2 linked regions of the Sus scrofa genome follow. The protein of the gene in region 1 purifies or fractionates together with the protein of each later gene. This does not show direct contact. Links are inferred from orthologs where the notes say so. Each region holds a gene or a part of one and is shown on either strand. Other genes may lie near its edges. The genes, in order: RHEB and RPTOR.

Evidence for each region.
Region 2: the proteins of RHEB (region 1) and RPTOR purify together in Homo sapiens (affinity purification with western blotting, with the first as the bait; 3 studies listed by BioGRID). This does not show direct contact. The link is inferred for Sus scrofa from reciprocal best matches to the Homo sapiens genes RHEB and RPTOR.

The regions. Positions count from the first base shown.
Region 1 is NC_010460.4:5,778,394-5,782,274, forward strand, and holds the start of RHEB (GTP-binding protein Rheb), read left to right. Parts: upstream 1-1,045; coding exon 1,046-1,097; intron 1,098-3,881. UniProt on the Homo sapiens protein: Small GTPase that acts as an allosteric activator of the canonical mTORC1 complex, an evolutionarily conserved central nutrient sensor that stimulates anabolic reactions and macromolecule biosynthesis to promote cellular biomass generation and growth.
Region 2 is NC_010454.4:1,733,106-1,736,907, forward strand, and holds part of RPTOR (regulatory-associated protein of mTOR), read right to left. Parts: intron 2,393-3,802; coding exon 2,289-2,392; intron 1,740-2,288; coding exon 1,556-1,739; intron 699-1,555; coding exon 588-698; intron 1-587. UniProt on the Homo sapiens protein: Component of the mechanistic target of rapamycin complex 1 (mTORC1), an evolutionarily conserved central nutrient sensor that stimulates anabolic reactions and macromolecule biosynthesis to promote cellular biomass generation and growth.

The sequences.
Region 1 (3,881 bases):
AGAGTTAAAGATGTGTTGACTTGCGCTATTTTTCCCCGTCAGGTGTGTCGGATCTGCTTATCCCAGGGTTGAGACAACTGAGGTGGCGCACACTTTTTTTTAAAAATGCGTATTTTGAATTACTGCGTTCCAGTCTTCCCACAGGCCTTCATCCATAGATGATACTAAGTCACAACCTACACCCTCAAACTTAGACTGACACCAATATAGCAAAGGGCTAAAAAGAAAAAAACTTCACGCAAGGTAACAACCGCAGCGAGCAACCGCCAAGCGACCTGCGCCTCGCGCCTTTTAAGGGCTCTGCGAGCGCGAGTCCATCAACCGCTCAGCGTTCTACCAATCACCTCACCTCTCAATCTTTCCCCGCCCCTTCCCCCGATCTAACCAATCACTAGGAAGCTGGCGTCCCTCCGCCCCTCCCACCCGCCTCCAGACGTTCGAAGCCTGCAAAGCTCACTAACGCCCAAACGCGGGCTGAGCGTCGGAATTTATTTTTAGCTCCCGGGCAAGCAGCCCCGCCTCTGGCTCCGCCTCTTCACCGCCCCCAATGGGAGAAGGAGTTTCCGCCGCGTCATCGCGCGGGCGGGTGGGAACTGTCCAATCAGCGCTCGGGGAAAACTGGCGTAATTAAAAAGCGGCGGAAGCCGGTGGGAGGGTCATGACGCAGCGAGTTTCAGTCGTGACTTTTCTAGGGGCATTTCGGCGTCTCCTGTTTTTCCCTTTAAAGTAAAACGCCTGCCCGGCGCACCCCTGTGCGTCTCGGGGACGGGGGCGGCCGCAGCGGCGGAAGGGCGACGCTGACGCGAGCCGCTGCAGGGGGGCGGCCCCGGCGGCCGCGCGCGGTCACGTGGGCGTGTTTGGGGGCGGGGCCGCGCGGCGGTTCCGGGCGGTTGAGCGCGCGAGCCAGGAGCCAAGGCAGCCGCGCCCGCCCGCCCCGCCCCTGGATGCCGCTCTGCCCCGGCGCGGCAGCCGCCGATCGCAGCACAGGAGCCGCCGCCGCCGCCGCGGTTGATGTGGTTGGCCCGGGGCTTGTGAGGCCGCCAAGATGCCGCAGTCCAAGTCCCGGAAGATCGCGATCCTGGGCTACCGGTCTGTGGGTGAGTGGCGGGCGCCGCGCGGCCTCCTCGAGCCAGGGCCCGGCCTCGCCTGGGGGCCGGGACGCGGCGGGCCGGGCCAAGTTTGGGGCCGGCGCGGCCATGTGGCGGCCGCGCGTTTCGTAACCAGCGGTCCGCCGCCGCCACCTCCATTTTGAGCGGAGGCGGCGGCGAGGCCGGGCCCGTGGGGCGGCGGGCGGCCCGGGAGCGGGGAGGACGTGTCTGGGAGGCCTCGGGCGGACGGGGAGTTCCGGCGGTCCCGCGCCGGGCACGCGGTGCGGGGTCTACCGCTCTGCCAAACTGCCGCGAGGCCCCCCAAAGGCAGAAGTCGCACCTGTCCCTCTTCACCTCGCCGCGGCGAGCTGTCGTGATCGTTGCTGGCCTTTGCACCCCCCAAATTCAAGTCCGTGGGGTTTTAACAAAGGAAACTGTGCCTTGGGGTTTTTTTCCTATGCGTGAAGTTCAACGTTTTAAAGGAAACTGGGGACCTAGAGGACGTTTGGCTACAGAGGGCAAGTTTCCTACGAAAGAAACCCAAGAGCCCTCTTCGGAAGCCTCCTGGATGCTGCCAGCGGCCGAAGTAGAAAAGCAGGGAAAGAGAAATTTCTGCTTTCTCGGTGTCCTATTTTTCTACGGGAAAAAATAAGGTCAGGTACTTGTAACCAGGCTGGTGAAGTGATTCAAAAGTTACCCCCCCACCCCGCCGCCGCCGCCACTGAACAAGATTGACATATATCTGTAACTGTTCCTGACAGTAGCTTTTTAGCCTAACGGAGGTGGTCTGGGGTGGGATGGGGGTAGACCGGGTGCCAGAAAACGAGAAAACAGCCGTTGACCTAACCATGCTTTAGGGTGAGGCTTTATTGTCTTTGACAACCGGAAGCCTGGAGAAATTACGATTATCTTTTCGTGTTGTTTTTAAGAACTGTTTAAGGGAAATGTGCACTTGACCGCGGGGTGGGGGGGCGGCTGCCGGGTGAAAGCGGGTGTTTGGAGTCTGTGGTGATTGCAGAAGGAGGTAACGGTAACTGCCCTAGGAACGCTTTTCACCGCCAACTCCCCGACCTCGCTTTCTGTTCTGCTTCTTCACCCCCATTTTCCACGGCCGGTGCCAGGGTCTATGCTCTTTGACCAACATCAGCTACAGCGTGCTTACTCATCCTTTTATCATCCCTCTCCGGTCAAAGGGGTGGGGGTGGGGGGAATCAGGGGCTGAGAGGTGCTTGTGTAGTGAGAAGGGGCGCCCAGAGTCATAGGGGTAACTCTGGTACGGTGCAGTGCCAGATGTGTGGAGAAGAGTAGGTGGCAGCCGTAACAGCTGCAGCTGGGAAGTACCGTGTATCAAATTGAGGCTTTCAAAGTCTACACAGCCCCAAGTGCCCATGTGGAACCTGGCATCCAACCTCTGTTGGCAGCTTAAATCACCTAGCCCTGGCTTGTCCGTGGTCTTTAGTTCCTCCCCTGGCTTGTGAAGAGAGGGGGGACCGTGACATATCCTGGCTCTTGAGTGAGTTCTAGCTAATCAGATACATAGCGCCCACTAATTAAAGGTAGCAGTTACAGGTGACTTGAACCCGAATAATCAAGTTACAGGTGATAAGTACCTGGGCTCCCTGATTTCAGCGGAAGAGAGATTCTTGGTGGTGGTTCTGTTCTTCAGTGAATAAGCCTCGCATTTGCTCTCACTGTTTTGCTAAAGAAGTTCCTCGTATCCAACTAAAACCTGTTCTTTTTGTATCTTCCTTCTAGCCGTCATCCTCTTAGAGACCCAGATGAGACAGGTCACCCCTTTGTCTTCTCTTTTCAACTGCTGTTAGTTAAAGTATTGTACTAAAGCAGCCTCCAGTGGGGTGCAAGGTATATTTGGTCCCTATTTTTTGTGCCTTCAATATGTTATACTGCTTGTAGCCCACTCAGTTGTCTCCATATTTGTTTTCACATGGGGTGATGATTAAAGTGAAATGTATTTTAGAAGTTCCCCTGTAGGTCAGTGGGTTAAGAACCCGACCAGTATCCATAAGGACGCGGTTTCTATCCCTGGCCTCGCCCAGTGGGTTAAGATCTGGCGTGGTTGTGGCGTTGTGGCATAGGCCGGCAGCTGCAGCTCCACATTCAGCCCCTTGTCTGGGAACTTCCATATGGTGAGGGTGCAGCCCTAAGAAGGGGAAAGGAAAAAATAAGTAAAGCGAAACGTATTTTGCAGAGGTTAAATTATTCCCAATCTTTGCCTTTGCTTTTGCATTTGATCACCTTTGTTGTGAACCAGGACATTTGTAGCTTGTGGGGTCTTTTGTTTTGCCAGCGTCAAAAAGGGAAGTAATCCCCTGATTGCATGTACTAATAACCACTCTCCAGAGAATGAGTCAGTATTCAGACTTAGCAGTTTGGTGACACGTTTGCTTGCAAATGGTGCTGTACTGGAGAAATTTGAGTATGTGTATTTCTCGGTTGTGTTATTTTGTAATGCTAAGCTGTCGTGTCATATTGACTAAGGGTAAAGAGTGGCAGGAAAAGGCTAAGCTAGAAACCACACCTTTCTTAGAATGTTCGCTTGATTAAACGTGCCAGTTTGACTAGTAGAATACTTCTCATTGTGACATTGTCATGTCATAAACTTTATTTTAAAAGTTTGCTGTCAGGGGAGTTCCTGTCGTGATTCAACGGTTTTCGAATCTGACTAGCATCCATGAGGACGCAGGTTCGATCCCTGGCCTTGCCCCATGGGTTAAGGATCCAGCATTGCCGAGAGCTGTGGTATAGGTCACAGCTGTGGCTTGGATCTCAAGT
Region 2 (3,802 bases), on another chromosome or scaffold:
AGTTCTCCCTCCCTCGCGGGAAGAGGAAGCAGCTTTGGCAGAAGGTGACTTGGCCAGGAAAGACGACAACTAAGCCTGACAGCGCGCCCTGCACAGGGACGGGCATGAGGGATTCTGCCCCTACCGCGTGCCCTGTCCCACCTGTCGCCCTGAACGAGCGGCCTGCGCCTCTGCGGCAACAGGACACACACCACGTCATGACCTCGCAGGGTCAAAGCTGGAAGGCAGGTGAACCCCAGGCCCCGGACGGGTCTTTCCGAAGGCCAGCCAGCTTCGTCCGACAGGCCCGCAGTGGGGAGCAGCCCCCGAGGCCTGGGGACGGCACGGATGACCTTGCCAATCAAGACCAAAGGGCACACGTCACGGTGGCAAGCTCGGGAAAGGCAGACTTGTTTAGAGTCGGCAGGAAGGCCAAGGCAGTGCTTTTCTAAGTGGTAATGCCAGCCACCCGACGGCAGTGCAGTGGGGGGGCCAGGAGGCCGGCTGGCACAGCAGGCCCCGTGCAGCCCCGGAGCCGCCCCCTGGCTCGTGGGGCCCGAGGGTCGCCGCGAGCGGGCCGGCGGGGCCCGGGAGCCGCCACACACTACCTTCATGACGGGCTGGGCAAAGTACCGCGCGCTCCAGTCGCAGAAGCCCGTCTGCATCGTGGCCGAGATGAAGCTCTTGTGCCCCGCAGTGTCGTCCGGGTCGTCGGCAGTCTTCAGGCGTTTGGAAAGGGGGAGAGAGCACAGAGCAGAGTCAGCCACCGCGTCCCGGGCCTCCTCGCGAGCTGTGGAGTGGCCGTCCCCGGAAGCAAGGCGGCTGGGGGCTCGGGCCTCTGGGACAACTCCATGCTCCCTCACCTGTGGCTCTGGTGACCAGGGAACCCCGACCGTCAGAGCCCGAGCCTCCCGGGGGCTGGCCGAGGTGGCTGGGAAGCACCCCCACAAGGCCTCTGCTACCTGGTCCTGCGGCCTCTGCGCCGACCAGGCCGGTCACACACGCACCGAGCCTGCCTGCCCCGCTCGTGGCCGGCACGGGAAGCGCCTCACAGAGGAGCCCCCACCCGGGGAGGCTCCCTCCGCGGAAAATCCCACAGATGCCGGGTGGGCGGGGCCAGCAGCAGGTGTGGTCACCTGTCCGCCCTCAACGCCCGCTTCCAGCTCCAGGCAGCCGCGACACACGCTGGTCCCTGGCGAGCTGAGTCATCCCCGCACGTCCAGGACGCCCTCTCTAGACGGCGCCTGGCTGGACGGCGGTGCCCACCCTGTTAGGGCTTCTCAGAGCCCCGACACGGTGCCAGCTCCTCCCCTTCCCGAAACGTCTGGGTCAGCTCAGGGGCAGAGCCGCGCGGCCTGAGAGGCGTGCTCGGCGTTGATGGAAAAAGCAAAGCACCGTCAGCACGGACGCTTCCGCGGAGGGGCCGCCACGCGGGGTGGAGGCTGACGCTGTTCACCGGGAAGGGAAAGGCTCCACGCGCTGCCACCTGGGAGCTGCCAGGACGAGCGAAGCCAGGACAAGGGGGCAGCCGGGCTCCGAGGAGGGCCCGCAGCGCCCGAGCCGTGAGCATCCGTACCTGGTCCGGGCCCTTGTCGAACATCTTGCGTGTGCGGGGGAACTGGTGGGAGTGGGGCGTGTACTGCACCCCCACAGGGCCCGCGGCGCCCGGCCGGCCTGGCGGCAGGTCTCGGCTGACCGGCTGCTTGGCCACGTCGTTGGTCAGGCTGGAGCTGCTGGTGCTGGACGTCGGCGGGGAGCCTCTGCCGTCGGGGAAGGAGAAACGCTGTTTCACCCAGAGCCCGTCCCTTTGAAACGAACCCCTAAGCAACCTCTGCTGGTAGTGCCCCCATCCCCAGATCCTGCCCACGGCCCAGTGCCATCAGCTTGGAACGTCCTCAGTTGCCCAGTGCTGCCGTGACGGCCAAAGCCCAGCTGCCGACGCTGAGTTAACGGCCCTTCTAGCTTCTGCCTGGGGAGAGGTTCTAAGGACCGTCTCCCCTGAAAACTGCGCAGGCGGGGGGCCAGCTCGGCCAGGACTGCGAGTCGGCCGGGCGCTCAGGCAGGGTGCGGGCACGTCTGCCCCCGGGACTCAGTGCTCGGCCATGTGGACCCTGATTAAGAGGAGGGTGCCACCGGCTGGCACCCACGGGGATGGGGGGGTCAGGTTCTGCTCGCAGCGCTGCAGACGAAGGTAGGAGAGGGCCCTGGGAAGCGGCTCAGATGTGGGGGAGCGTCTGCGGGCTGGAGCGGGGGCACGAGGGAGGGGCGTCCGTGAGCCTCCCAGGCCCGGAGCAGGCCGCCCCACTTACCCCGCCTGGTGGATGTGGATGCCCTTGTTGGTGGGGCTGGCGGGTGCCGACTGCGTGAGCGAGGAGGCGGTGAGGATGCGCTGGGGCCGGGCGTTCATTGTGGCCTGGGGGGCAAAGGGGCAAGTCAGCTGGCAGTCGCGGTGATGCCGCCGGGGCACGACACAAGTCCAGGCGGGAGCTGCTTTGTGCGGCTTCCAGGAGGCAGAAAAGGCCTGTGGGCGAGGACGCGGCACCGCCACCGCTGCAGTCGCCCTGCAGACAGTGAGGCCTCCTTTTCTGGAAGGTATTCGCCTGGTCCAGTGAGGCTCCAGGGACAGGCCCTTGAAACGCTGTCACAGAGCTGAGCCGGGACTCACGGGGAGTGGGGTCCGAGGTGGGGAGTGGGGTCCGAGGTGGGGAGTGGGGTCCGAGGTGGGGAGTGGGGTCTGAGGTGGGGAGTGGGGTCCGAGGTGGGGAGGAGGCCCCCCCTCCGGGCCCTGGCTGCTGTGCTGCATTTTGGGGCAGGCTGGAAACAAGTTCCGTCCGGGCCCTTCCTCCCGGGGTCCTGCTCAGGCCTGACCGTCCCCCAGGGAGGGTCTGCACCAGCCTGAGACGCCCTCTAGGATGGAGTGGCTTTGTTGTGAGTTTTTAAAACAGAGAAGGGGAGGGAGCTCCCGGCGTGGCTCCGTGGTTAACGAATCCGACGAGGAACCATGAGGCTGTGGGTTTGGTCCCCGGGCTCACTTAGTGGGTTAAGGATCCTCTTGCTGTGAGCTGTGGTGTGGGTCGCAGACGAGGCTCGGGTCTGGTGTGGCTGTGGCTCAGGCAGCTGTAGCTGTGATTAGACCCCTAGCCTGGGAACCTCCATATGCCGTGGGTGCGGCCCTCAAAAGACAAAAAGACAAAAAATACAAACACAAATAAAAAAGCAGGGAGGAGGAAACGTTAAGCAAGCGTGTCACTGCTCAGCTGCTGGTGATCCCCGGGGCCAAGTTCCTTCCGGGACGCGGACGGGCCTGCTGGCTCTGGACAGCCAGGGTGAGCAGTCAGAAAGGGCTGGCGCTATGGCGGGGCCACCTCTCTGGTGGGAAGAAACCTGGAGCAGGCCCGTTAGGGTGGCTGGTGCCTCAAAGGCGGGGTGACCCCCGAGAGAAGGGTGGCGCCTGGACCTCCGAGGGGTGACGCTCCAGGGGCCCTCGGACTGGCTACGTACAGAGCACCCTGCCTCTCTGGACTAACTGCTCCGCAGTTAGGGACGCTGTGCCTACGTTCAGAGAGAAAACCATAGGAGTTCCCGTTGTGGCACAGCGGGAAGGAATCCGACGAGGAACCATGAGGGCGCAGGTTCAATCCCTGGCCTCCCTCAGTGGGTTAAGGATCTGGCGTTGCTGTGAGCTGTGGTGTAGGTTGCAGACTCAGCTTGGATCCCACGTTGCCGTGGCTGTGGTGTGGGCTGGCAGCTACAGCTCCGATTCGACCCCTGGCCTGGGAACCTCCATATGCTTCGGGGGTGGCCCTAAAAAAAAGAAAAAGGA